Linked DNA regions of Mus musculus. The protein of the gene in region 2 interacts with the protein of the main gene of each other region in a pairwise test. Links are inferred from orthologs where the notes say so. Each region holds a gene or a part of one and is shown on either strand. Other genes may lie near its edges. The genes, in order: Ilf2, Eef1g, Ech1, Get4 and Klhl18.

Evidence for each region.
Region 1: the proteins of Eef1g (region 2) and Ilf2 interact in a two-hybrid assay, tested with the Homo sapiens proteins (2 studies listed by BioGRID and IntAct). The two-hybrid records come from large-scale screens. The link is inferred for Mus musculus from reciprocal best matches to the Homo sapiens genes EEF1G and ILF2.
Region 3: the proteins of Eef1g (region 2) and Ech1 interact in a two-hybrid assay, tested with the Homo sapiens proteins (2 studies listed by BioGRID and IntAct). The link is inferred for Mus musculus from reciprocal best matches to the Homo sapiens genes EEF1G and ECH1.
Region 4: the proteins of Eef1g (region 2) and Get4 interact in a two-hybrid assay, tested with the Homo sapiens proteins (2 studies listed by BioGRID and IntAct, with this or other methods). The link is inferred for Mus musculus from reciprocal best matches to the Homo sapiens genes EEF1G and GET4.
Region 5: the proteins of Eef1g (region 2) and Klhl18 interact in binary tests that used the Homo sapiens proteins (3 or more experiments, as listed by UniProt). The two-hybrid records come from large-scale screens. The link is inferred for Mus musculus from reciprocal best matches to the Homo sapiens genes EEF1G and KLHL18.

Annotation. Positions count from the first base shown.
Region 1 is NC_000069.6:90,473,886-90,479,631, reverse strand, and holds the start of Ilf2 (interleukin enhancer-binding factor 2), read right to left. Parts: upstream 3,432-5,746; 5' UTR 3,392-3,431; coding exon 3,387-3,391; intron 2,628-3,386; coding exon 2,568-2,627; intron 2,313-2,567; coding exon 2,270-2,312; intron 1-2,269. UniProt on the Homo sapiens protein: Chromatin-interacting protein that forms a stable heterodimer with interleukin enhancer-binding factor 3/ILF3 and plays a role in several biological processes including transcription, innate immunity or cell growth.
Region 2 is NC_000085.6:8,965,119-8,970,773, reverse strand, and holds the start of Eef1g (elongation factor 1-gamma), read right to left. Parts: upstream 3,734-5,655; 5' UTR 3,561-3,733; coding exon 3,549-3,560; intron 2,559-3,548; coding exon 2,400-2,558; intron 1,613-2,399; coding exon 1,549-1,612; intron 1,411-1,548; coding exon 1,268-1,410; intron 931-1,267; coding exon 787-930; intron 1-786. Other genes in the region: Tut1 (speckle targeted PIP5K1A-regulated poly(A) polymerase), read right to left, coding at 4,614-5,655. UniProt on the Homo sapiens protein: Probably plays a role in anchoring the complex to other cellular components.
Region 3 is NC_000073.6:28,823,297-28,828,952, reverse strand, and holds the start of Ech1 (delta(3,5)-Delta(2,4)-dienoyl-CoA isomerase, mitochondrial precursor), read right to left. Parts: upstream 3,616-5,656; 5' UTR 3,593-3,615; coding exon 3,541-3,592; intron 3,080-3,540; coding exon 2,875-3,079; intron 2,769-2,874; coding exon 2,680-2,768; intron 1-2,679. UniProt on the Homo sapiens protein: Isomerization of 3-trans,5-cis-dienoyl-CoA to 2-trans,4-trans-dienoyl-CoA.
Region 4 is NC_000071.6:139,250,219-139,256,003, forward strand, and holds the start of Get4 (Golgi to ER traffic protein 4 homolog), read left to right. Parts: upstream 1-2,105; 5' UTR 2,106-2,246; coding exon 2,247-2,401; intron 2,402-3,278; exon of another isoform or gene 3,279-3,383; intron 3,384-5,785. UniProt on the Homo sapiens protein: As part of a cytosolic protein quality control complex, the BAG6/BAT3 complex, maintains misfolded and hydrophobic patches-containing proteins in a soluble state and participates in their proper delivery to the endoplasmic reticulum or alternatively can promote their sorting to the proteasome where they undergo degradation.
Region 5 is NC_000075.6:110,473,239-110,478,774, forward strand, and holds the start of Klhl18 (kelch-like protein 18), read right to left. Parts: upstream 3,457-5,536; 5' UTR 3,357-3,456; coding exon 3,228-3,356; intron 1-3,227. Other genes in the region: kinesin-like protein KIF9, read left to right, coding at 3,735-3,876. UniProt on the Homo sapiens protein: Substrate-specific adapter of a BCR (BTB-CUL3-RBX1) E3 ubiquitin-protein ligase complex required for mitotic progression and cytokinesis.

The DNA.
Region 1 (5,746 bases), on a different chromosome or scaffold from region 2:
GGTCTCACAACCACCAGTTAACTACAGTTCCAAGGAATCTAACTCCCTCTTCAGCTTCCTCTGGTACTAGGCATGTGTGTGGTACACATACATGCAGACACACACACATAAATCTTTAGAATTAAAAAAACAAAACAAAAAAAAAACGGGCCAGAGAGATGGCTCAGCAGTTAAGAGCACTGACTGCTCTTCCAGAGAACCTGAGTTTAATTCCCAGCAACCACATGGTGGCTCACAACTATCTGTAATCGGATCTGATGCCCTCTTCTGGTGTGTCTGAAGAGAGCAATGATGTACTCATATATATATATATATTTTTTTTTTTGGTTTTTCGAGACAGGGTTTCTCTGTATAGCCCTGACTGTCCAGGAACTCACTCTGTAAACCAGGCTGGCCTCGAATTCAGAAATCCACCTGCCTCTGCCTCCCAAGTGCCAGGATTTTAGCCAGGGCGTGTGCCACCACACCCAGCTAAAATAAATATATCTTAAAAAACAAAAAACTAGAAAAGTCTACATTTAATTTTATTTTCCCCAGGGACCATTTCAAAGCCAGTACACCTTACAACACTTGTTTTCACCTCCTTCAGATGTTCAAGTCCAAATGCAAACCTTGTTTTTCTGTTATTTCTTTTGAGACGGGTCTTATATAAAATCACAGGCTGACCTGAACTTGCTATGTAGCTGAGGATGACTGTAATCTTATCTTCCTGTGTCTTCCTCCTTTGTACTTAGATTATTAGTGCGTACCCTCATACTGATATATGAAATGCTCTGGGCTCTGTGCATGCCAGTCAAGCACTCTACCAACTGAGCTACAACAGCAGCCTGAGTACTCATTACCTTTATATAAAAAGAAATAAAGGCCCGGCAGTGATGACCCTCATCTTTAATCCCAGCTCTCAGGAGGCAAAGGCAGGCAGATCTCTGTACATTATAGGCCACCCAAGGCTGTACAATGAAACCCTATTTACACACACACACACACACACACACACACACAAACAGAAATTACCCAGAGGCCAGAGAGATAACTCAGCAGGTGAAGAGTATTTGCTACTCTTGCAGAGGAACCAGATTTGATCCCTAGCATACCCAAGGCAGCTCACAACCTCTGACAAGTCACCTCTTCTAGCCTCCAAAGGCACCAAGCACACATATGGTAAATATTTATATAGGCAAGTACTTTATACATACACATGAAATTTTTTAAAAAAGCAAGCCAGGTGGCAGACACAAGTGGGTTTCTGAGTTCCAGGACAGCTAGGGCTACACAGAAAAACCCTATCTAAAAATCCAAATATAAATGAAGAAAGAAAGGAACTGATTATAACCCATCCGCCATGTAATATAGTACACACTTTTAGAACTGTGGAGGCAGAGACAGGCAGATCTCTGATTTCCAGGCCAGCCAAGGTTATAGATACAGACACTGTCTCAAAATAAATAAGTCCTAAAAATTATTTTTTAAAAAGACATTTTTTAGACAAATATTACAATGAAACTGTAAAGGAATTATTTTTCCTACCTTGCTGACTCTGTTTTCTATGTTTTGTTTTTGTTGAGACAGTTCACTCTAGTAACCCAGGCTGACTTTGAACTCTGAACATGGTCCTACTGCTCAGGCTTCCATTTCTGGGATTACAAAAGGATTACAGTCTCTTTAAAGACTGACTGGTGAACTGGCTTGTTTTTTTAAATATTTATTTATGTGTATGTGTGAGTGCCACAGTGAATGCATATGCATCCTGTGTGCATGAGCCTGTGGAAATCAACAGGGACATAAGATCCTTGGAAATTAGAATTACAGACAGATGTGCACCGTTATGCAAGAACTGGAAAAAATTTGTAGCCTCCACTAGAGCCATGTTATACCTGTAGCTATACCTATAAGTAGATAGTGACATATAATAAATACAATAATAAAATAAAATTAGGTGTTAGGGATATAGATCTAACATGTTCAAGGTCCTGGGTTCAAATCTCTAGCACTCATACTAAGTAAATAAAAATTTACACCAGATGTGGGAATGCATGACTGTAATTCCAACATTCAGGAGGTTGAGGGAGGAAGATGGTGAATTTGCAGTCAACTCAGTAAGTATTCATAGAGTTCCAGGCCAGCCAATCATACAGAAGACCCTCACTCAAACAAAGAAAAGATCCACTCTTGAATCCTACTCCAAACAGTATCTGACTCCATTAACAAGGGGGCTCCATTTCTACACCTATAAGTGAACAGGAAAGTCCTCCAAAGCCAAAATACTCACCAAATAAAAATCAAATGGGATATGGGGCACAAAAGGCCTGAACCTGAAACATGAAAACAACCCAAAGTTATTCAAGCAGAAAGCACAAGAGAGGTACACAATGCACCAACCAATTCTGTCTTAAGAATTGGAAAAGTTTCTGAGCTGTATCATTCTTAGCAAAAGGTCAAATCCACTTAGTAGGACATCAGGAAAAGAAATGCTTTTCGTGACTTTCATGAAATGAAATAGAACAATCTACTCCAAACCCCTTTCTACTGAAACAAACCAAGGCAAAGATGCAAACAGCCACACTCACCCTCCACCAGGCCCTCCTCTGGAACCAAAGCGCCCACCACGACCACGTCCTCTGTCACCCCTAAAAATACATACATTTTACTCTCAATTCGCTGAAAAAGGTCTCCATCACACCATCAATGTTATTTCAATTTGACTTACCTTGACCGCCTCGAACTACAGAAGTGGATAGATATTTCATGCTCTCTTCTCCCAGATTCCAAATGGTGCCCAATGACATCCTAATTCTGGACTTTTCCTTTTTCTTGTTTTTGAGACGGAATCTCATGTATCTCCTGCCTTACCTCCCAAGTGCTGTGAGTGCAGCTTTCGACACCACACCCCACTTCTAATTCAGGATTTTATCAAAACTCACATCAGGAAAATACGAGTTTCAGAACCTGATATACATACCCCTACTAAGGTAACCTACGATCGTGAGGCACACCAGTCCTAATATGCACAGTAAAGTGACTTATCATTTATTAATACAGCATTAACAGTTACGAGGCATGTACTATTGGTCAAACACTAGGTACCAGAAAATTGCGCAACGCTCCAGCCTACTTATTGCGCACGGAGGGAGATCTTCCTGGGCCGTTAAGACCTCTCCTCCATCCCCTCCCGGCCCCCGAGACCCAGGTATCAACACAACTCCCCCTGCTGGGCCCCGACCCCCTCCGGGCCCGATTCCCGGAGTCCGCCAGCCTCCTCCTGCTCCACTCCCCCGCGGTCAGGCTTTCCGCCGGCCGCCCAGATGCAGGCCCTTGTTCCTCCGACTCCATTTCAGCCAGGCCCCCGAGACTTCGGCTGGAACTTTCAAGCACCTCTGTCCACTTACCTCATGGCTCGCTTAATCCTGAACAATGGAGGCCACACAACCGCTCTTCGCTGGGAAGAACTAGGCTGGCTGAGAAACGTCTGGCCGGCGTGTCCCAACAAACGCCTGCGCGATAGGCTCCCGCCTCACTCCGTCCCGCGCGTTTATTGGTTAACGCAGCAACCAATGAAAAATGCCCTGTAAAGGAGCCAGCCAATAAGAAGACATAACAGGGATGAAGGCAATTTTCCCCACTGACAGCGGAGGGCGTTCAGAAGTTGAGGCGGTGAATGGTAAGCTCTTCTATGGAAAAGAAGAGAATGCTACCAGTGGGTAGCAGAGTGGCGCAGCGGAAGCGTGCTGGGCCCATAACCCAGAGGTCGATGGATCGAAACCATCCTCTGCTATCGGAGGCTTTGTTTTTAAAATTTTGACAATCTAATTAAATTTTCCTTTCCATAACAAGAAATACAATTCTTTTTTCTTCTCCAACTTTTTTTTTTTTTTTTTTTTTTTAGATAGCGTCTTTTTCGGTCATCCTGACTTACATAATACTCGTTAGTGTAGCCCGAGCTGTCATCAAACTCAGCAATCTCCAGCGTGTGCCGCCTCACCTGAAAACATAACTTTTACCTTATGGAAATATGAGAAATAACTTAATTCCACTTACCACCACTATTCCCTCGATAGCATTACTATTATATGATTCTTTTTATTGAAAAAAATTCATACAATATATCTTTTTTTTTTTTTTTTTTTTTTTTTTTTTTTGGTTTTTCCGAGACAGAGTTTCTCTGTGTAGCCCTGGCTGTCCTGGAACTCACTTTGTAGACCAGGCTGGCCTCGAACTCAGAAATCCGCCTGCCTCTGCCTCCCGAGTGCTGGGTCATACAATATATCTTGATCACATATTTCTCTTCCCCAGTTCCACCAGCTCCTCCCCACTTCGCTATGTTAGGTGATTCTGACAAGTATTGGTGTATTACTTACTTTCGTAGGCATATATTCCTTTCAAGTAACCTAACTGCACCTTCATTAAAATAGGGAATACTTTATCGTGTTAGCAAGGTGAGTCAGCAGGTATAATCGCGACAACCTGAGTTCAACCTCTGAGACCCACAGTGGTGGAAGGAGAGCAGCGATTTCTGCATTTTGTTCTCCGACCTCACTATAAAGGTTGTGGGTGTGGTGACACCCATAAACACAACATAAATATAACAGAATTAAAAAAAAAAAAAAGAACGCTATTTTGGCAAACATGGTGGAGCATGCCTTTAATTATAGCACCTGAGAGGCAGCAGCTGGAGGATCTGAGAGTTCAAGGTCAAACTATTCTATGTAGCCAGTCCATGCCAGGTAAGTCTACATAGGAGATCCTGCCTCACAAAAAGTCTTTCATCATCTCAGAAAGGTAACCATATTGGATTTCTACCATCATGGGTTAAGTTTGCCTTTAGATTTTCTTTTCTTTCCTTTCCTTTTTTCTTTTCTTTTTTTTTTTTTAAGATTGATTGATTGATTATGTATACAGTATTTTGCCTGCATGTATGTTTGCAGGCCTGGAGAGGGCATCAGATATATGGTCCTGAGCCACCATGTGGTTGCTGGGAATTGAACTCAGGACCTCTGGAAGAGCAGTCAGTGCTCTTAACTTCTGAGCCATCTCTCCAGCCCTAGGTTTTCTTTTAATTGGGAGTGGCTCAGAAAAGGCTCAGCAGTCAAGAGCACGCACTGTTCTTTCAGGACTAAAGTTCGGCCAATCTCTTCTGCCCTCTAGCACATTGTACGCATAAGCATGTATACATATACACACATAACTTAACATAAAATACATCTTTAAACCCAACCTTGTGGTGCAGGCCTTTAATCCCAGCACTGGGGAGGTACAGGCAGGCAGATCTCTGAATTGGAGGCTGGCCTTTGATCTACAGAACAAGTTCCAGGACAGCCAGGGCTGCATAGAGAAACCCTATCTCAATAATAATTAAAATAATAATAATAATAATAATAATAATAATAGTTTATTTACTTAGGGACTAGAGAGATGGCCCAGCGGTTAAGAACACTTGTTATTTTACTCTTGCAGAGGACCAAGAAGTGTCAGTTCCCTTCACCCACATGGTGGCTCACAATTGTCTGTACTCCAGTTCCAGGGGGTCAAACATAGTTCTCTGACATCCACAGGCATCAGGTACGCACATGGTGCACAGACATATATGCAAGCAAAGCATTCATACACATAAAAAAGGTTCATCTAAAACATACCTTAAGCTGCTGCAAAAAATTAAGTTTCTTCATTACTATGTGTGCATGGTTTGAGGTAGGGAGAATGTGCCACAGCCAAGTCCAGGTGAGTCTTCTACCTGTTCCTGGGTCCTTAG
Region 2 (5,655 bases):
ATCACAGAATTCAGTTAGTCACGCACCGCAAGTTCTGCAGTGACTTGAACATGTACTTGCTGTGTGTTGTGGCCATGGAAGGATTATAATGAACCCTGTGAGGCACACCAGTCTGGCAAACAATGGCATTTTTTTTTGTTCTCACTGGACTGTAATTCTGAACCAGAATGGGTCCAGAGCTGCTGCCGCCTAGAAATCAGCAACACAATATTAAAAAAAAAAAAAAAAACAAACATGGGGGTTGGGGGCAGCTGGGGATGGCTACCTGGTTTGATTCCTAGCACACACATAGTAGCTCACAGCCATCTGTAACTCAAGCTCCTTGGGATCTGCATGCATGCACACACATATGCAAATACATGTAGACATAAGCTGAATACCACCTTGGACTTATCACAGATAAATAACTATGAGAATTCTTATACCACTGCATCTTTAAACACTGAAGTTAAGACAGAGACCTGAATCTGCCTCCAAAAGCTCTCGCTGCTGCAGTCACTATCCCTGTCTCTTACATCTTTGATTTTTGCTTTCTATTTTTGATATCACTATGTAGCCTAGGGTGGCCTTAAACCAGAATGATCCTCCTGTCTCAGTATCTCAAGTGCTGGGATTACACAAGTATGAGCTACCACACGCAGCCTTTATCCATCTTTAATAAGATGGAAACAGTCACAGTTCTCACTGTTGGGATCCCTACAATCATTAACTACTGGTCTGTCTTAAGCAAAAACAGGGTTACCCTAATACAGGTCTAACCCCTGTCACATGGGATATAAACCTTACCTGTTTATAGAGCCACAACAGGGTACAGACAACTGTAATATCAGCCAGTGTCACTCGCTCGCCCACTAGAAAAGTTCGAGTCTTCAAGTGAGTGTCCAGCAGCCCCAGGATTCGCTTCACCTCCTCTTTCGCATTTTCAGTGGCCTGTTGTTTTGAATACTCAAGCTTAGTGGGTACCAAGTCCCTTTCCTCAGATCCCCCCACCAACAGAACTAAAGAAGCCATTTAACCAGCCATCGACTCAACCCCCACCCTCTATCATTAGACTCTAGAATCAGTTGAAACTTATCAGAAATGAAATCACTCGTGTTAGATATCTTCATGATCAACATGACTTTATTTGCACCATACTGATGGTAGCCACTTTAGTCTGCATTGCCCCCACACTCCTGCTATCTTTTCCTTCATCTGTCTCCCAGTCCCAAAATGTAGGCTCTGACTCTATCTCTGGCCCAGCTTCTCCCCAAGTTCCAAAGCGTACCTGTTTGTTGTGGTGCATAATGCCCAAGGTGGGGAACACCCAGGTACTAGCTGGAGGAACGATGTCACTGTCAGCAAAGCTGACCCACTGCACCACCTGAGCTGCCGCCTCTGGCGTACTTCCTCGCAGCTCCTCATTGCTTACTGCAAAGGCAGACATAGAGCTTAGAACTTTGACCTCATGCCAAAACCAAGCCGGGTCTCTGATTCCACCTTGTCCGCCACAGCCGCTTCTACAGCCTTACCCCCATACCCTCTCACGCCTGTATCCCCACAAATTACCATAATAGGCAATGGCATTGCTCTCAAACACACAGAATCCATCATCACCCTCAAATGCTGGAACCTGTGGAGAAAGTAGCAGAAAACATAAACACAGAGATTTCTCAGTAGCCAATTCTCCAGGCTGAATTGTTCTAAATAATATGTTAAGACAGACAACTCTTGCTACGCTAATTCATGACATCTCAAGCTCAGAAGTGAAAATTACTTAGTATCCCTCATGATATGAATTCACAAGGGTGAAATTCAAACATAGCTAAAGTGTGGTGCCCCATACCCTTGTCTGAAACCAGCCAGCAAGCTACTGAGACCCCACCTCAAAATAAACAAATTCAGATATGGATGCCACCCAACAATCCCACAGCTTCACTGCCCAAATCATTAGGTGCCATCCAGACTTAGCATTTGCCTCTATATTTAGATTTGGATATTTAGCTCTACTCATGCTCTATGGGGTAAGAATCCAACTCTCAAGACATACTTAGTACATACATACAGATAACACCTGGTGAAAATACATTTTATCCTACAAATATAAACCAGGCCTGGAACTCCTGACAGTCACTGAACAGCTGTGAATACAATGGAACTTCATAATTACAATGGAGACAGGATCTTACTATACTTATAGGCTTGCTTCACACAATCTCCCTGCCTCGGTCTCCGGGAGCTTTCAAAATTATTTTTTTCCTTTGGGCAGTCAAGTTCAGAGGCTTTAATAGGTTACATTCCTAGCCCCTTAAAATTTCTTTAAAAAAATATATATATAAATAAATACACACACACACACACCATGGGGGCCATCTCCAGAATAATGGAATTCTAGAGATCCCAGATGCTTCCCCACTCACCTTGCCGGCAGGAAATTTTCGGAGAAATTCAGGGGTGCGGTTGGTTTGGCCAAAGTGGAAGTGGGGTGGTGCGGAGAGCACGCGGACCTGAGCCCCGCTGTACTGAGCAGCGATGAGGGCCTTGAAGGCCCTCCAATTTTCAGGGTATGTGTACAGGGTCTACAAGAGAAAGGGTGAAGGATGGACTAGAGGCAAGGAACCCTGAATGCCACTCCCCACGCACACTTCCATGCAATTCCAATGTGCACAGCTTAGATTCACTCCTAGTGAACCGAGTATGCCCCATGTAATCAGAGTCCTCTGAAATACCAAGAAGAACATCCCAGCTGCTAAATAAAGCTTACCGACAGATGTGACCTCTCTTAAGGACATCTCTAGAGGCATTCTTCCCTTCAAAACTTCTGGTCCCATCTGCCTAAACACACGAACACTCACACCCATCTCTCCCAGAACCCTTGTTTCATTCATTGGCGGTGACCCGGAGTCTAACTACTTCCAGGCTGCTATCACTTCAAAAGCACACACACAGACCAAGGGATTTCAAAGTTCCCCTCAGAATCGACACGCTGAATTCTAATGTTCATCAGTTATTCTTCCTGAAATGCCTTTCTTTGCACATGGCGAATTAGCAACCCTCTGGTCCTGTCCTGCAGTGAGTTCCCAGTTGTCTCCCTACTAAAATCTCACCAGCAGGGTCCATATGGGCTCACTTCACCCCCCCTTTATTCCTCTGGCTCCCAAACCTCCCCGAAGGTCAACTCCCAACGTGCCAGTCGCCCCTTCCCACAAAGACCCTCTCCTTTCCACGTCCTCGTTGTTGTCCCACAAAACGGTGGCAAAAGTTCCACCAACCTGCTCAGACGCCACACCTCAAAATGGCAGTGAGGTTAAACACTTTTTAAAGGTCCAGACAATGGAGACCCAGCATCTTTTTTCTCCTCAACCCCAGAACGTTCCACCTCTAGCCTCTGAGCCCCAGCCTCAGTTCCCCTCCAGGCCCTAGAAACCATGCTCTCCGACCGTACGGCTTGTGAACCCCAGATCGGCTCGCGGCTTGGGTCTGAAACTCCCCTGGCGCCGACTGGCCCCACTCAGGCAAAGGATGGCGGTGGATAGGGTGACCCTAATCACCGGAGCCGGCAAACTTACCCCAGCCGCCATGGTGATTCCGCAGAGAAAGGGGGTGGGGCTGTCGGTGCTGCCGCAAAGTAAGCCGCAAAGGAGACAAGGGAGGAGGAAAGGAGAGAGCAGTGTGGAAACAGCGGCCGGAAAGCGAGGACGGCATAAAAGGCATACGCACGACAGTTCCGTCTACAGCCCCGCTGAGTTGGAAAAAGCGAGGGGTGGGGCCCGCAGCCTGGAGCGCAGAGAGCGGGCGCCTGCGTAGTATAACTCTGGACGATCCTGCCCCGCCCGCGTCGCCGACCAATCGGAAGCCTGATAGGAGACGGAGCTCACCCAGGGAGGGGAAAAGTGTGAGAACCCGGCGGAAGCACCGCCCCTCGAAGGCTGGTATCTGGAACCCGTGACAAACTACAGGAACTGCCTTAAGGAAGGGGTGGCAATTTACTGAATTCCTTTTGTTCCTGTTCGGGTTTTTTCTGTAAAGGGTCTGTCTGTTCAGCTGGGGCCCACGGCCGAAAACATCTGAAAGTAGGTCTGCTCCGATTAAACTCCGTGCTGTTAAAACTTACACAACAAAGCAGCACGGACCAACTTGCCACGTCACCAGCACCACTCAGGCTTGGCTGCGCCCCAGAGGGTCGGGTAAGGCAGCCCAGTTCTGATACAATAGTTTACACATATCCAAATTTGAAAATAAATCTTGACTCCAGCTTATGGGCAATTTGAACTCTCTTTCACGTTAAAGGATAGAAAAGACAAACCCTAAACCCAAATTTGTGGTTCCCATCACCTGGAGCAGCAGGACAAGTCTCGTGTGGGCAAAGGTTGTTCTCAGAAATCAGTGCCTTTGCCTCGTGGAGGTGGCACTCCCTAGGAAAGTGCTGGCAAGTGGGAAGGAGAGCTCTGAAGTGGAAGTCATAGGACTGTTTTAGAGTAGTCAGGCCAGAAGCTACATTGAGGCAAAGAAAAAAGGCGTTACCAGGAGGAAAACAAAGACCTCGTAATGGTCTTATGAGGGAGTATGCAAAAGAACATTAAATGTCTGTATGAAATAAACTAGCAGCTTTATTGTTTTTGAGGTTTGGTTCCTCACTTGAGGAGATTTTTAAGTGCTTGAGGGATAAAACCCTGTAGAAAATGATGAAGACCAGGGAACAGGCCTTGGGAGTCCTGGAGTGGGGCCACAGTGAGTGTCTGCTCAGCCTGGGAGGCAGATGCCACAAAGCTGAGGAGGGGCTCCCCCGGCGGCCTCTCTTGCTCACTATTGGGTCCTTTTAGTTCCTGGGTCACACGAGCTTCCATTGCCAGCCACTCTGCTCCTGTGGTGGGACCTCCTCTACCTTCTTCCTTGGTTTGTTGCTGTAATCGTCTCCGGGCACGCCGCCTCCCCTGCCATACTTGGTGCCACAAGGCACAGCGCCAGCTCACTGATGATGGGTGTGATGCCTCCTTCCCTGTCTCACCCTGAGACCCTTCTCCAGCCACTTCAGGTTTCATGGGATTATGCTCAGCTGCCTTGTCTAGACAGTTTGCAGTCATCAGGGGCAACTCCTCCTCTGGTGGTCCCGAGTGCAACAAGGCCCAGTCCTGAGGTGTCTCTCGAACCTCTATTACCATTTCTTCTACCTCATTTTCACTGTGGTCCCCTGCACATCCCTGTGGCTCCTCTTTCCCTTCCTCGAAGCTCTTTTCTTGCCCACCAAGTCTCTGTCTTTTGTTCACCCCTCCCAAGGGAGAGTCTTTAATTCTGGCACCTTCTGACCGTCGTCTCTTGGTTCCCTGTTCTATGTGGCATCCTAGTGCTTCCCTTAACACATCCACCAAAGCCATAATGACCTGTGGAAAGGGGGCAGAGGGTAAGGGGATGAGCTTGGCAGACAGCAGGGAGCTAGGGGAGCTGGGCTGCAAAAGCGGGAGCAGTCCCCAGTCCCGGCCCCGGGAGGAACGCTGCTGGTACTGGAGACTTCGGCAGTAACTGGCTGCTGCCCCACAACAGCTCTGCAGACGTTTAGCCACCCGGCCGGTCACATTGGCTGCAACATTGTGACTCAGGTCAAAGGGGTCCTGGAGATTCATGGGGCCAAGGCGCAGCCCTTCCCAGAGATCAGAAGGCAGGCCCTCTGCCACCATC
Region 3 (5,656 bases), on a different chromosome or scaffold from region 2:
TGCTCAGAATTCACAAGGGGAAGAGCTGGGAGTGTGGCTCAGTGGTGGAGCACTGGCCTAGTTTCCACCACTGAGGGGCCTGTGGTGGCCCTTGCCTAAAATGAGGAAGCCTTGTATTCAAATAACACATTGAGGTTTGTCTTCAATGTGTTAAAAAAAAATCATCCAAATAAAAACAAACAGAAAGCCCGGGTTGGTGTTCCAAGCCTTTAATCCCAGAATTCAGGAGTTAGAGGCAGGCGGATCTCTGTGTTTGAAGCCAGCCTGGTCTACAGAGCAAGTTCCAGGACAGCTAGGGCTACACAGAGAAACCCAGGCTTGAAAATCCAATAATAATAATAATAATAATAATAATAATAAAACCACAATCCTGAGGCTGGAGAGATGGCTCAGCAGTTAAGAGCACTGGTGGCTCTTTCAGGGGATCTGGGTTCAAATTCCAGCACCGACTGCCTGTAACTCCAGTTCCAGGGGATCTGACACACACACATAGACATACATTCAGTCAACTCACCAATGTACATAAAATAAAAATAAATAAATTATTAAAAAGAAAGAAAGAAAGGAAGTAAGAAAGGAGGAGAGAGAGAAGAAGAAGAAGAAGAAGGAAGGAAGACAAACAGACACAGGACAACCTTGGGCTGGTGCCTTTATCCATGTGTACACACACGTAAATGTACTCACACATATGTGCAAAAATATAAGACAAAATAGAATAAACAAGAGGCAGGCTGGACAGCAGGTCAAGGCAGGAGGATCTAGAAAGTCACTGAGGCCTCATCACAAAGAACCAACTAGAAATCTGAAGACTGCAAACAAAACACCTGAAGCAAAAATGATCACCGGGTGGGAGCTGGAGACATGGCTCGGGGGTAAGAGCACCAGCTGCTCTTCCAGAGGACCCGGGTTCAATTCCTAGCACCCACATGGCAGCTCACAACTGTCTCTAACTCCAGTTCCAGGCTATCTGACACCCTCACACAGGCACATAAAACACCAATGCACATAAAATAAAATTAAAAAAAAAATCATTGGGTGGGTTTCACAGCAGAACAGAAAATTGGGAAACAAGCCATGCTAAAGTGGAGAAGGGGTCAGGGGTCAGAGAGGAGAAAGGGTAGTGGAGTAACTTCCGTGCGTGTGTGTGTGTGTGTGTGTGTGTGTGTGTGTGCACGTGGGGGGGGGGGGGCAGGGGTAGGCAGAAGTCACTGCATGTAACACCCTTGGCTAGACACCCCTGTAGGTTTTGAAAGGTCCAGAGCCTCATTCAAGGTTACAGATCTACTGCGGTTAATCCAACTTCAGGATCCTAGCAGGTTCTGTTGAGCTAATTTCTATGCTTGAATTTGTGGTAGGGAGGGAATTCTGGGCTTTGAGCCAACTCCTGAGTACACACACCCACACACGGGTGAATGTTTTAAATTAGACTGAAAAAAAAAAAAAAAGAAAAAAAAAAAAAGCTGGGCATGGTGGTGCAAGCTGTTAAATCCCAGTGCCCAGGAGGCAGAGGCAGACAGATCTCTGTGTTCCAGGCCAGCCTGAACTTGGTCTACAGATCAAGTTCCGAGATAGCCAAGGCTACACAGAGAAACCCTGTCTCAGAAAACCAACCAAACAAAAACCCACTGAGGACTAATGGCGTAGCTCAACAGTTAAGAACCTATATACTTTTTAAAAAAGATTTATTTATTATTATATCTAAGTACACTGTAGCTGTCTTCAGATGCACCAGAAGAAGGCATGAGATTTCATTACAGATGGTTGTGAGCCAACACTGTCAAATTGATCACACCCAACCTGTTAGTCCAGCCCTAGGGGGATTTTTTTTTTTTTTTTTTTTTAAAGATTTATTTATTTATTATATGTAAGTACACTGTAGCTGTCTTCAGACACACCAGAAGAGGGCATCAGATCTTGTTACAGATGGTTGTGAGCCACCATGTGGTTGCTGGGATTTGAACTCCGGACCTTTGGAAGAGCAGTCGGGTGCTCTTACCCACTGAGCCATCTCACCAGCCCTAGGGGGATCTTATGTTACATATTATTATATAATCATAAGTCTTTAAAAAATAAATAAATAAAAATAAAAACTTTCATTGAGAACCACTATGGAGCCAGCAAGATGGCTCAGCAGGAAAAGGAGTTTGAAGGCTTGCAGGCGAGCAGGACCAGCATCCAGGTCCACTTGATCATGGGGAAGGATAGAACCAGCTTCCAAAAGCCGTCATCTAACTTTTGCACACGTGTGCATGCACGCGCACACAAAAATAAAAGTAACTTTTTCTTTTTGGTTTTTCTAGACAGGATTCCTCCGTGCAGCCCTGGCTGTCCTAGATCTGGCTCTGTCATCCAGGATGGCCGTGAACTCCCAGAGAGCCACTGGCCTCTGCCACTCCAGTGCTGGGACTAAGGGCACATGCCACCGGCCCAGTATTTTTGTTTCCTTCTAGAAACAAAAGGAGGCCAAAGCATTGAGTCATGTTTACAATCCCAGCATCAACATTTAGGAAGCTGAGGCAGGAGGATTACTTCAACTTCTAGAGTAGCCTAGTCTAAATAGAGAGTTCCAGGCCAGCCAGGGGAGGGAAAAAAAAAAAGAGTAAGTGACAAAATCAGCAAAGAAAACTGCTAGCATGGCTGCCCCAGCAGGGGGAGAGGCGCCAGCAGGCAGACAAGTACCTGAAGTGAACATCTTTCCTGCACCGGAGACTACAACAGCCCGGCAGTCCGAGTCTTTGGATATCTTTTGGAAGCATTCCACCAACTCCCTGCAGAGGCATAAGAAGTAAAGGGTTATATCTGGAGTGGGAAGCCCCTGTCCCTGCCCACCTCTGTCTCCTCTAGCAGATAGGCTTGTGGGCTTGCAGGCCAGACCTCCAGAAAGCCCTGTTCATGGCATTCCTCTTCTCTGGCCGGTTTAGCTGCACGTGGAGAACATGCTTCTGGGCACTTGTGACTTGAATAGACTCATAGTTGTGGTCTGAGACTTCCTCGGGGGCTCTCTTGGAGGCCTCTTGTGCAGAGGAGCTCAGAGATCGAAGGCTGATGTTGAAGTACAGCTGGCTGGTACCTCTCAGCTCTGGGGAGACAAGGAAGAGACTTTGAGAGCCTAGAATGGGGACATTTTAACAGTATATGCTCTTTAGGGGCGCTGGCATGACCAGACATAACTTTTAAGATTAGGGTATGCAAGCCAGGAGGTGGTTGGGAGGCAGCATTTGGAAGGCAGAAGCAGTCCGATCTCAGATCGAGGCCAGCCTAGTCTGCAGAGAGTTCCAGGATAGCCAGGCCTACACAGAGAAATCCTGTCTCGAAAAACCAAGTTTCAGTCTGAGACTACATTAGACCCTTGTTTGTGGAAATGACCCAAGATTGGGGACAAAGAATTCAGGTTGAAAGACAGACCTAAAAAATTATAATTTCATTTTAAATTACAAAAGGACTCCTGAGTTTAAAGCGACCCAGGCAGACTTCCCGTCTTATCGCCGCTATAACAAGACGACACAAAAACGAGCCCCCACGGATTAAGGGGTAACTCACGCTGCATCAGCAGGCCGCGGAGTTTACTGGAAACTGTCATCGCGGTAGCCATTTCTGGAGCTCCGGAGCTGTGCGACTTACTCCCGAAGAAAAACTTAGGGGGCGGGCACGAACGTTCGCCATGTTGGTCAAGGGCACCGAAGCCACCGCGGCCACCGCCCTTTAGCAGCGAGGTCCCACCTAGTTCGCCATCTTTACTAAGGGCAAACGAAAAAAAAAAGCACTCCTTCGTGTCTCATGTGTTTGGGACGTTGCTTAAACCTTTGGCCCAGTGGGACGCTGGCCTGAGAAAATATTTCACAGTGCTGTTGGAAAATTGTGTATAAAGTTCATCACAACGCTGTGTTGGAACAAAATGCAGACAACTGAAATAGTCAAGGACAGAAGGGCAGCAGTTTAGTTGCTAGGATACCGGCTGGCCAGAATTAAGCAGTTTTTATTCCCTTACCGCCAGAAGTTGGCTCCTGGACCAGGGAAGTTATACGGATTCAAGGTTACTGGACATTTAGAAGTGCGTAGGCAGGAGTAAATGGCTCTAACGCCACCCTCCTTTGTTTTGTGGTGCGAGGGGACTGAGGCAACATAGGCAAACATTTAACACCGAACATATCCCCAGGCTCTTCTCCCTGATTTATGTAAGGTCTATATAAAACCCCAGGCTTGCCTGTAACTTCAAGTATCCTCCACCTTTTGCCTCCTGAGAAGGGATCATCCTACACCCAGCCCCCGCAACAAAGACTCTGAAAAGAACCCAAGGAAGTTCAATGTGGTGCCTCATACCTTCAATCCTAGCACTCAAGAGACAGGGGCAGGGAAAGAAAAAAAAAAAAAAAAAAAAAAAAGGGAAAAAATCCGGGCAGGGTGGCGCATGCCTTTACTCCCAGCACTGGGGAGGCAGAGGCAGGCGGATTTCTGAGTTCCAGGACAGCCTGGTCTACAAAGTGAGTTCCAGGACAGCCAGGGCTACACAGAGAAACCCTGTCTCGAAAAACCAAAAAGACAGAGACAGAGACAGGGGCAGGTGGCAGATCTCTGCGAGTTCAAGACAAGCCTCTTCTACATAGCAAGTTCCATTACTATAGAGACCCTGTCTAAATAAATATAATAATATGCTGTTTGTTTCTAGACAATTTCTGTGTAGCTCTGGCTATCATGGAACTCTGTGAACCAGGCTGGCCTCGAATTTATAGAGATCTGTCACCTTCTACCTCCCCAGTGCTGGTATTCAAGGCATGTGCTACCACTACCACCTGGCAAAGGCTATATTTTCAAAACAGACATACCAAAAAAAAAAAAAAAAAAAAGCCTGAGAAAGTATTACCCAAGAGCATAAAATACCGTCTAAGTGTGCTCCTTAGGGAGATGTTTGCCAAGAGGGTGAACAGATGTCTCTGGGCCAGTGGGACAGTAGGGGATGTCTGCTACCCAGACTTACAGCTGAGGTAGGCAGTCCCCACCCCACCCCACCCACACAAGGGACAGATGTAGCAACTACCAGGAGTAATGTTTTATCCTCCTTTTGTTGGAAAATCCTATGCAGATACTAAAATGTGAGCAGAAAGGACACCCTAGTTTCAGCTAAGAAATTAGGAAGTTGTTGCCTCTTATCAACAAAAAGAAACCCTGGAACAAATGGCTGTGGTGCTCTTGGCAAACCAAAGCACCTGCAGGCTCAGTCTACACCCCTGTGGCTCCACTCTGCTCACCCTGCCCCCTACCCTAAACTCAAGCTCCTGGGCGTCCCTTCCAGCTTCATTCCCATCTAACTCAGCCACTTTGGCCATGTTTGCTCTTTGCCCTCTCTCCTCTTGGTCCAACCCCTTTTGTGACTCCCTACTGGGCATGTTCAGTCTACTACCTTCTTTCCCTGCTCTGGACCCTTCCAGATGCCTCTGGCTGTACCCACTTCTATCTTCAAAACCTCAACCGTAGCTTGGAGTGGTCATGTCATCTCATTCAGTAATGTGCATCATTTAACTGGTATAAAAAAGTAATTGTGGATGATACACGTGGAGTGTTTATACATTTACAGGTCTAATTGCCAACAGAAAATGAACTGGATAGTAGATAAAACTCTTTGAATCTCCCCGATTGTTTTACAGCAAACTAGGGTGCA
Region 4 (5,785 bases), on a different chromosome or scaffold from region 2:
ACCCTAAGACAAGGTTTCTCTGTTTAACCCTGGCTCTTATATCTTAGAACTCACTCTGTAGACCAGGCTGGACTCGACGTCCAATCTGCTTGCCTCTGCCTGAGTGCTGAGCCCACACCATGCAGCTGTTTCTCTGTCTCTTTCTCTCTCTCTCTTTTTAAAGATTAATTTTATGTATATGAGTACACTGTAGCTGTCTTTAGACACACCAAAAGAGGGCATCAGATCCCATTACAGAAAGTTGTGAGTCACCATGTGGTTGCTGGGAATTGGACTCAAGACCTCTGGGAGAGCAGTAGGTGCTCTTAACCACTGAGCCATCTTTCCAGCCCCTAGCTGTTTCTGTTTTAAAGAGAAGCCTGTTACTAGGGCTTTGCTCTCTTGAGGACCTGCTAAACATCTTGAGAGAATTCCAGCCAGGAGGGTAGTGCTCACCTTTAATCCCAGCACTCAGGAGGCAAAGGCAGGTGGACCACTGTAAGTTCAAGACTAGACTGTTCTACATAGCAAGTTGCAGAACACTCAAACAGAGCAATATAATAGGCCCTATCTAGGAGGGGAAAAAGTTCCAAAAAGAATTTATGACAAACTGTACTACACTGTCCCATCCAGACAAGTCATCCCCTGGTCGGACACTCATGCAGCATGAATCACTTGCCCCTTTGTTACTAGGTGTCTGGATCATCAGGTAGAATGCTGTATCCAAGTGGTCCTTCCTTATGTGGTAGTGCCCACAGAGCATCATCCCTCTTCACAGAAGGGTGAGCACGGTACTGTCAGAGTGTTGGGAACCAGCAAAAGACATTTATTCTAAGTACTACCATCTTGTTTTCAGGCTCCATTTAATCATATCAAGAAACCAAGCTCCCAGGCCCTAGGGGAGCTAGGGACTTCCCAATAGCTTACTTTGAACAGCTTCTGTTGTAAGGAAATAGTTGTCTTGAGTCCAGACATCTCGAGGACAACTTCATCTTGCTGGCAGGGTCAAACTAATGTTTATGTTTCCAGGCCTAGGAACCAACCTATCCTGATACAGTGGGAACGCCCTTGTCCAACCCCTTACGACGGATTATGATTAGACAGTGCTACAGCCTGCCCACCCACCTCCCCCTTTCTCTATATTTTCATCCTTTAGGCTGTACAGTATTCCCTCAGGGTTTTACTTCAGCTTCATCTGCTCTGCGGCCCTGACCAATAGCGGCTTGATTACCTGCGTTGACCTGGTGTCTTGAGTTATGTTGGTTTTAGGTTGGATTTAAGCGGACCCCACAGCAAGAGATCATGTTTACAGACTCCTTAATCTGTTACCATGCTTTCTGCTTGCACATGGGTGTGGTGCAGAAAATGCTAGTCCAGCTGGCCCGGGTGCAGGCATAAAAAGTAGGTAAGTTGAGGCAGGAGAGTCACAAGTTCAAGGGCCAGAGTAAATGGAAGGCTGAGAGTGTGTAGCTGACAGAAATGAACGCCCTGAACTTCATCTCCAGCATCCAAACTCATTATTTAAGGATATGTGTAGGGTTTTGTAACCTGAGTTTTGGATGCTGTCAGAGGACAACTCTGACCCTGGCCAGCACCTCCCATCCTCCCCCAATTAATCATGACCTTCCTCCCTTCTCTGCTGTCACCTGCTCCAACCACAGCCAGGTCTTCTTGGAGACATTACAGGTTCTAGCCTGAGCATACTGCCCTGTCCCAGATGTCACTAAGGATGACTGCCACCTGGAGGGGCACTCCCCGGGCAGGTGTGAGACAGGTCAAAGCTTCTAAAATGTGTCTGGTTCATCCATGCGCTAAGGGTAACTTCAGGGGGCGCGCGAATAAGACGCCTCATCGCTGAGTCTTCTGCCTCAGTTTACTTGCGCAGCCTACGTGGCTGATTACATTGTGCAGTGATGACACTAAGCTGGGGACAGCTCAGCGTGTAGTCCCGCCCAAGACCTCGGTCCCGCCCACTCTCGCAAGACTACAAACAAGTTCCCGCGATAGTCTGAGAGCCCCACCCCGTCGGCTTTTCCTGGCCTGTGTTCTCAGGGTCCTTCTCAGACCCCCCCTCAGGGGCGTGTCCTCGCGCGGCTCCCGCGATCCCGGCAGGCTCCGCCTCGATCACGTGCGGCCCGCGGCGCGCCCGCCCTCGCACGGCTCCTCGCGGCCACCGTAGAAGGAGTGCGGCGGCCGCAGGGACGGAAGCCGGGAGGCGCCGCCGACCGCGCCTGCGACAGCGTCAGCTCTGCGCGGAACGCCGGCCCATGGCGGCGGCGGCGGCGATGGCAGAGCAGGAGGGCGCCCGCAACGGCGCCCGCAACCGCGGCGGCGTCCAGCGCGTGGAGGGCAAGCTGCGTGCTAGCGTCGAGAAGGGCGACTACTACGAGGCGCACCAGATGTACCGGACCCTCTTCTTCAGGTGGGCGCGGGTGGCGGCTTAGCGCCGAGGCCCCACCTCCGCTGTTGCTCATTGGCTGCGCTGCGGCGCCCCGCACCCTCATTGGTTTATGCGGCTGCCTGTCGCGGAGCAGAGCGGGGGCGGCGGGCTTGTACTACTCGGCAGGGCCTCCTCTTCTCTGCCTGGTTCCCCCTCCTCCTCTCTCGGCCTCGTCTTTCTGAGTCCCTGCCTTACTCTCAGAGCTGCCCTTCCCCCGTCCTTCCTTCCTTCCTTTTCCCAGGCCTCCTTCCCCAGCCAACTTCTTCTCAGGCCTCCCCTTCCCTGGACTCAGTTTTATCACTAGCCTCTCTCCTCTTCACTTAGGCCTCCTCCCTCTTACAGGCCTCTCTTCCCGCCACTCCTTCTCTATCACACCCTCTTCCTCGCCTGGCCTCCCTTTCTCTGAAGGCTTCCGCTGGTTGGCGAGTCCTGTTGTCAGAGTAGTCTCACCTAGTCCTCCCTTCTGTGGCCAGTGATTGGAATTGCACAGCCGGCTAAAGTGTGGTCAGATGCTGACACCGTGGGCCAGCCTGTGGCCATCTGTATTCCTGCCTCTGTGCATCTGCCAGCTGATAATTCCTACGTAGAACTTTATTCCTGACTACAGGACATCAGCATTTCTGCTCCATGTCCGTAGTGTGGGTTTGGCCCCTGTGCCCCTTAGACCTACTTTTCGTTTTAAAATACGTTTTGTTTTAGGGCAATTTTAGGCCTTCAGTAAAAGGAGTGGAAAGTGGTTATCTTGTACCAGTTGCACATTATCATCCACCCATTACTGTCACCTAGGGCCCACGTGCTGTGGAACTCCTCCTACAGTCACTCCCTCTAGCTTGATCTGAGCACGGTGTGTTCTGTGGGCTGGATAAAGCTGCCATGACAGTGGATGACACTGTACACAGTGGCCTCACTGCCTTGAAGCCCTGTTGGGGGCTGAAGAATCAGTGCTCTGGGAACCCTCTGGCTCGTGAGTGATACTTGTTTACATCTGAGGACAATTCCCACTTCCCACATGCCCAGATTGAGCCTGGCAAGTAGCCAGGTGGACATGGGAGGGAGGGGCATGGTTAAGGCCACACGCAGTAGTTAGCAAGCCATCAGGGACCAGCCTTGCAGTATTTCCCTCCGTAAGTGCTCAGTCCAGGGGGTTGGCAGGTGTGGGATGAGCCTTGGCGTCCTTGGTGTCAAAGACTTCCTGTTTTCTTTACCTATTGGGCGCCCTGGATTTGGAGCAGCGGGGTTTAGTCAGCTTATCGAAACATTAGCCCTTGCTCTAATCACAGGTTACCTGAAGGGCAGCCTTGTTGGGGAATTTTTCTGTAAACTAGACACTATAAATACAAACCAGTCTGGCGACATCTAGTTTCATCACAGTGTCCCTAGTGCCTTTAAAAACAAAAACTAAAACACTCTTAATTATATTAATTATATTGGGAAGGCACTTGCTGTATTCTTTAGATAAAAATCTGTAGCCACGTGTGGTGGCACACACCTTTAATCCCAACACTCAAGAGGCAAAGGCAAGCCGATCTCTTGTGAGTTGGAGGGCAGCCTGTTCTACAAAGTGAGGTCCAGGACAGCCAAGGCAGAGAAACCCTGTCTTTAAAAAATAAAGTTAATTTTTACATGTAGAAACAACTACATAATGATTGATAAAGTAACTGGTTTTTGGTTTTGTTTTGTCCTGTTGGGAATAGAGCCCAGGACATCTCACACGCTACACTCCCTTTTGTTTTTTTCCACTTAAAATTTTGAGGTGGTGTGCCTTCAGGTCTGACTCAGGCAGACCTAAATTCTTGATCATACAGGTTGAGCTTCCTAAGTAGCTAGGATGTCAAGCCTGTGTCATCAGGCCTGCTGAATGGTTGGTTTTTCCTCTGAGTTGAGCTGTCTATCACTGAATAGGATCAGCCAATTGGCCCAAGCAATTTTTGAGTGAAGAAACAAAGGATTAGACAGAGCTAACCCCTGGATTACAGGGGTTACTCTGTGTAGCAGGCCAGTCACTGTGTATACTTCTGCAGCACTCAGGGTACACCCTGGTGTCTTACATTTTTGTTTTATTTTACTGGAACTCACTCTGCAAACCATCCTGGCCTCAAATTCAGGTTTACCTGCTTTCGCCTCCCTGACACTAGAGTAAAGGCTTGCGCCCCTACTGCCCCCACTCATTGTTTTATTTAATCAACAAAAGTGAGATCCGGAGAGTAAGCGTGTCCTTGTTTTGAGTCAACCCTGCTGTGACTGAGGATGTTCTTGTTGGTGTTGTGTGACTAGAAGAGTTCCCTTGGTCACGGTGGACTAGGGATGGTGATGGGCAAGTTCCTCCTTGTAACTGTTTGAAGCCACGTGTTATCGGCATACAAAGAACTGACCAGCAAGAGGACTGGGGTGCAGTGTGCTCCAGGGACACAGCATTCCACCAGGGCCCAGTACTTGTTACAGAACTCAAGTAGACCTCAGCTTCTCTCAACACTGTAGGCCCCAGGAGTGCCTATAGAGCGCCACCTAGACTCAGGGTCGGTCCATGGGCAGGACTGCTGGACAGCATAGTACTCGCTCACGGCAGTCAGGACAGCTTGCAGGAGCCACTTTTCTTCTGTCATTTTGGATTGACTCTATTCATCAGACTGTCTTGGTGACAGCCACCCTTACCTACTAAGCTGTGTCAAATCACCAGCCCTGGCTTTTTATCTTCTTTGACTGGATAAGTGGTGTTTATGTATTTACAGTGAATATCTTCATACGGTTTTTACTTTGGGGATGCTGAAAATGCCCATGGTTGTGACCCCTGACTCCCTCTCTATCCCCGGGCAGTTTGTCTATTGTTCAGCACAGCTCTTTTCACTTTGGGGTCTGTGCAGAGATCAAGGGGCTCTCCATCTGTGTGGCTTTCTAGTTCACGCAGCAAGATGTTCTAAATCTGATCCACATTTATGGAGTATTCTGTCCTATGAATGTGTCACAACCTAATTTTAACCTCAGCACTCCTAACCTGTATGGAAGAGAAGGGGCCAAGTAGCCCAGTGATCAGGCCTGTGTGGCCTCAGAGCCCCTGCCTAGCCATAGTCCTGTTGTGGCAAGTTACCTTGTCTCTGCACAGAGCTCTGCCAGGAGGAGGAAGGAGCTCTGCCGGCCTGGTTGTTGGTATCTCAGATAGTCAGAAGCTATTTGTCTGTCCGAGTGGCCTCAACAGCACCACGCCGTCCTCCAGAACCCCAGTGTTGGTTGCTATGTACTTACAGGAATATAGGCCAGGGGTTACATACGAGAGCAGAAATGATTCAAGGACAGCTGCATCACCAAAAGCCTACCCCGGCATAAGTGGCAGGTGACAAAAGCTGGGGACCTGGAACACACTGCACAGCC
Region 5 (5,536 bases), on a different chromosome or scaffold from region 2:
TTCAGATCCAGGCAGAGCCTGTGCCATATTGCCTCTCAGATCATAAGATCAGCAACATTCCCAAGAAAAACCCAGCACAGAGAGATTACAAACGCCAGCAAATGCGTACAAGATGAAAAGCAGACAAGTTATGTCTGACTTCAATGGAGAATTCTGAGCATTCCAGAGGTCAGCACCTGCAGAACCACCTCCAACTCCAAGCACCAGCAACACTCCACTCCTCTGTGTGTGTGTCACCAGGAGGGGCCCAGAACAGGCAATACTCGTCCTCTCTACCAGGCAAGCAACTGCTGTCACTGCCCTAACAAAAAACAGGTGGTTACCTTCTCAACAGGTTGAGCTCCCTGACTCCCGGCTTGGGGAACTAGCGCATTACTGACCTCAAAGGAGATTCATTGACTCTGAATACATCCTGAGAGGACAAGTCCTTTATTTTATAGCTATGGTTCTCACAATGCAGTCCTAGAGGAAGACAGCATCACTGGTGAACTCGACGGGGCTCATGCCAGACCTATGAATCAGAAATCCCAGGGTGAGCGATACGAACAAGGCCACCAGGTGAGTCTCATATCTGCTGAAGTTTGCAAACAACTACTCTAATTGGGGTGGGGTGGGGTGGGGGGGAGCTAGTTATTAAACCGCTAACCAATTCTTTAGAATCTGCTTATTTGAAAAACAGTCTGGACTCATGGGAAGGTGGAGAAAAGAGTAAATTATGAGAAACCAAGACAGATTTTGCAGAGAAGCTCTTGTGAGTAGTGACTGTAGCATTGGTGTACTAGGCCTTTCGATGGCTCCTAGCACCAGAATTCTCCTGAGGCTCTATAGAAGGGGGTTTTGGAACCAGTGAAATAAATGTTGTCTACAGTCTAGCTCCGGTCTATGCTTTTACACAGGTCCTTATGACTCTGACCTGACACAAGCAAAGTAACTGAGACTTGCACTCTCAGTCGGAAAGACGTTTGAATGATACAATTGTTCCTTTGCCTGAATGGAAAAGATTTTCGTGGGGAAAAAAAAAATCATACAAGCAATTTCTGCTGTAAGTTTGGTAGATTCAGCATTTATGTTGAACGCAGAGGCAAATGTATGGCTTTAGGGAAGTAAGTATCTGTGACCACACTCCATCTATCTACCACACAGCTTTCCTTACTGGCTCACCTCTTACAGCCCGAATCTTTAAAAACAAACACTTTTCTTTTTCTGCCGTCTCTTTGTGTGTGTGTGAGAGAGAGAAAGAGAGAGAGAGAGAGAGAGAGAGAGAGAGAGAGAGAGAGAGAGAGAGAGAGCGTGCAGGTGCCACAGCACACCTACGGAGGGCAGAGGGCCATTTTCAGGGGTCAGTTCTCACTTCCACTATGTGGGTCCCAGGGATGCAACTCAAGTCATCAGGCTTGGCAGCGAGTCCCTTTCCCCACTCAGCTTGTCACCAGCACACAGCCTAAATCCTAGCGAAAAACTTCTTTCTTATTACTGCCTTTCAGCAGCCTCTACATCCCAAAGGTCGGTGCCACAGTTAAATCAGTCTGCTTCCAAATCTCTACTGGCCTTGCCATCTTCTGCCTCCTCTAATCCATCTTATTTTTTCTTAATCCTCTTGGTTTCCCTATCTTATCTGAGACGATCTGCCCCTTCTCAGACCATTTCACTACTCTAATTAGAGATCCATTTCTTTCAGGATTGATGAAAAAGTTAACATAGGTGCTATACAAAGAATACCAAATATCTAATCCTCACTAATGGTGAGATTTAAGAATCGTCTTTAAGCCGGACAATGGTGGCGCACACCTTTGATCCCAGCACTTGGGAAGCAGAAGTAGGCAGATTTCTTAGTTCCAGGCCAGCCTGGTCTACAAAGTGAGTTCCAGGACAGCCAGGGCTACACAGAGAAACCCTGTCTCAAACAAACAAACAAACAAACAAACATTAAACACAAAAAAAAAACCCCACAAACAAACAAAAAAGAATCATCTTTAAACTGAGTGGTGATGGCTCACATCCTGACTTGAAAAACCAAAAACAAAGAACAAAAATTATTTTCACATTTCGAAATTTAAACTTAAAGAGATTAAGTAATGTGCCCATGGTTACAGCTAGTGTGTTCTTTCTCCAAAGCCACCCTCAGTTTGTTTTGCTTTTTAAAGTGCCAAACCATTAACCATTCAACTTTTTTTTTTTTTTTTTTTTTTTTTGAGACAGGGTTTCTCATAGACCTGGCTGTCCTAGAACTCACTCTGTAGACCAGGCTGGTCATGAGGTCTGCTTGCCTCTGCCTCCCAAGTGCTGGGATTAAAAGAGTGCTCCACCACTGCCCAGGAGCCACCCTATTCATTCCTACCAGTCTGACTCGAATACATGGAGAAGCAATGCTTCCTTAACTCAGTAGAAGATAAAGTCTAAGAGGTGTCTGTGTCTTTCTGTTGTTTTGAAACAGGAAGAGGGAGTGTCACACCGAGACAGTAAGAGCCTTCCAGGCAAGGTCCAACAGGAAAAACCACAGGCAGGCAGTATCCCCACCTGGAGGGATCTACCTGGCTCAGCAGGGCACCAAGGTGCAGCCCTGCACGACTCAAAGCACAGGGGGCACTGGCCCTTGACACCAGACCAGAATGCTGGATGGGAACAGGTGGCAAAAATATCCCTCTCCCCAAACAGTCCTTTAGCCTGGCCTCCAGGACCTTTTAAGGTGGTGACAGTAGATTGTTTTCCAGCATGGAAGAGAGTAGCCCACATCAAAAGATTTCCAGATCCGATTCTAAAAGCGCCAAGGGCAAGCAATGACTCCTGAAGAGAAGGCTTAGCATTTACAACAGCACAGCCAACTTCAAGGAGCCCAAAGAAATGACTTTAGGACAAGATAGGATGTCTTAGTGGTACCCATCGGAATGTGGAGTCAGCCACCGCCCCTTCCTCCATGGTCTGCCTGTAAGAACATTTTCTCTTTTCTGTATGACAGAAAAGGAGGCGGATACCCCAATGTCTCCTGCTCTTAGGGCGTCAGAGGCACACCTCTCAATCTTTCCTTCCAATGGCTGAACGGCTGTCCCCTTTACTCTCCCAACTTGGCCTCATTTCCCCCTCTGCGCTTGGCACCGCTCTCTACTACTCTGTTCCCCTCTAACCTTTCTCCACCCACAGTCGGCTGGACCACTCTTCCCCTGTCCACCACCCTTTTCTTCCCGCTCAGTCCCTTTCCCCTCAGCCAGCCACCGCCCAGACCATGGTACCTTTAGCGTCACGTCGCATAGCTTGCCCTGCCGCCGGATCTCCTCCATGACGCCGTAGCCGCGACTAGGCAACTCCGACACGGAGAAATGCACCAAGTCCTCCAGCTCCTCCGCGCCGTCCTCCACCATCTTCCCCGGCCGCCGCAACTGCGCAGGCCTGGCCAGCAGGCTTCACACTAACCAGGGCGGGGCAAGGGCTCACGCTGAAGGCTGCCCAGAACGCGAAGCCGGAATCTCACTGGCCTGCGCGGCCACCGTACCCACAAAGTCCTCGACACCGGAAGTCTCGCTGCCCCGCTTCCTGGTTTATACATAGCCTTTTTCCCCCCGTAACTCAAACTCAGGCTTCGCATATACAGCTACTCTAAGCCTTCCAGGTTAATTGACTCCATCTCTGTCTTCTTTGTTCAGCTCTGACTTTCCCTGTATCTTTAACGGAGAAATGTGGGCTTAAATTCCGCCACCACCCTACACTACTTCCGTAATCCCTGCAGGCTTCCTGTTGCCATGGCGACTGTGTACACAGCCAGTCGGCTAGCTGTCCTGGTTGCGAACAGAGCTCCCTCAAGTTGCTGCAGTTCTAGCGGTCGCTCTACCCGAGCGCCACTGCCCCGCGAGGTGAGCAGTGGTCACGAGCCGGTGGCGTTAGGTAAAAGGGAAACCTGGTGGGGATATCCTCCCAGCTGCTGTCAGTGGCTGGGTTCCTAACTCCTTTGGTTCTTTTATTTGTGAAAAAAAAAAAAAAATCGGAGACACCCCTGGAGATGCTCCTTTCAACCTGGTCGCAGCTTAGGGGAGCTAGGAGTTTCTGATGTTCCTTAGTCCCACGAGTCTCCACTGAGGTCCCACGACTTGCCTTAGACGGAGAGGGCGTGAGTTTGAGTGTCAGAGATCATTAAGACACGGTGTCATCACTTAGAGCCTTCTAACTACCGAAGAGGAAAACCCTCTAGAGGGGCACAGGAATGGGACCAAGGCAATCTGTCACACACATTTTAGAAAAGCATTCCACACACTGGGTGAGAAATAGGAGAGTGGCCAGTTTTGCCTGGGTGCAAACTTTGGGTTCATCTCATGCTGAGATGCAGTAGGACCCAGTGTTGTGGGTTTAAAGGGTGTTTGTTTCTTAGTCTTTATCCCTGATCGAGGTAAGAGCATGGTAGGTATGAACGCCTAGTGCCTATGAGTAATCCCATTGACTTCTTGTCAAGCCTTCGTGGGTGTTAATGTATATCCTGCTCATTCCCAAGCCCAAAACAAATGGAGAAACACTGACTCTCTCAGCACAGAGGTCTCCTGGTGGCTCGTCAGAGTCACTTTATTATGTGAAGTATGTAAGGACTGTGTTCAGATTTCTGGGAGTATTCCATCCTGAGGGGGAAAAAACACTACCTAATGGGAGGGTATCTTGAGACTGAGCATGGCTTCTTGTACTGGGAAATGAAGTATCCTCCCCAGAACGCTGCAAGTTCAGGGATTAGAGTAGTGTGGGAGGGGAGTGACATATCACATACCTTGGCACTCTCTCAGTAGTGGCTGAAGATGGTGGACCCACCTATGGAGATTCAGTCACCCTCTGACTTCCAGCCATGAGTATCACCATCAACTACCATTTCTTGAGCACCTGGTGTGTGCTGGGCGCTGTTCTGGACCTTGTGGGGGGCATCACAAGAGGTAAACGGCACGACCCTTATCCTCAAGCAGCTTGTAATTTGACTTGGGAGCTGAAGCCCACATAAATGAAGCGGCATAAGAACGGTAGCAAGCAGTACCTCAGTAAGTGCGAAATGGCATGTGCTTCCTTCCGCGGCACTGTTGGCTAGTGGGCTCCCGAGAGGAGTATAGACCCTCGGAAAGGCTTGTTGCCAACTGCGCATGACTCCAGGGATGCTCGGCGGCATGAGCATCCGGAGGACCCTGGAAAGGTCGGATGGGGGGGCTGCATGTGCACGCGCGCGTTGGAAGTTGTAGGGCAGAAACGGGGGGGAAAGCTCTGGAGCAGCCTTTGAGCTGGCCTGTGAACCCGCTTCCAGAACTCTCTGGATTCTTTGTAATTCCTTCTAGATGTTATACTCAACGGCACTGGAACCTTCCTGGGCAGGAAGATAAGACTCTTGGGGCTTGTGTTCAGAAAGGTTTCCCAGAGCTGTAGAAACTGAGTATTGAGTAAAAGAAGCACAGCTCCCATCTGGAGATACTAACCCCAATACTTGGGAAGCTAAGACAAGAGAATTGTGAGTTCAAAGCCAACCTGGGCTACACAGTGACACCCTTTCGCAAGGAAGACTTTATTTTTTTTTAATCGTGAA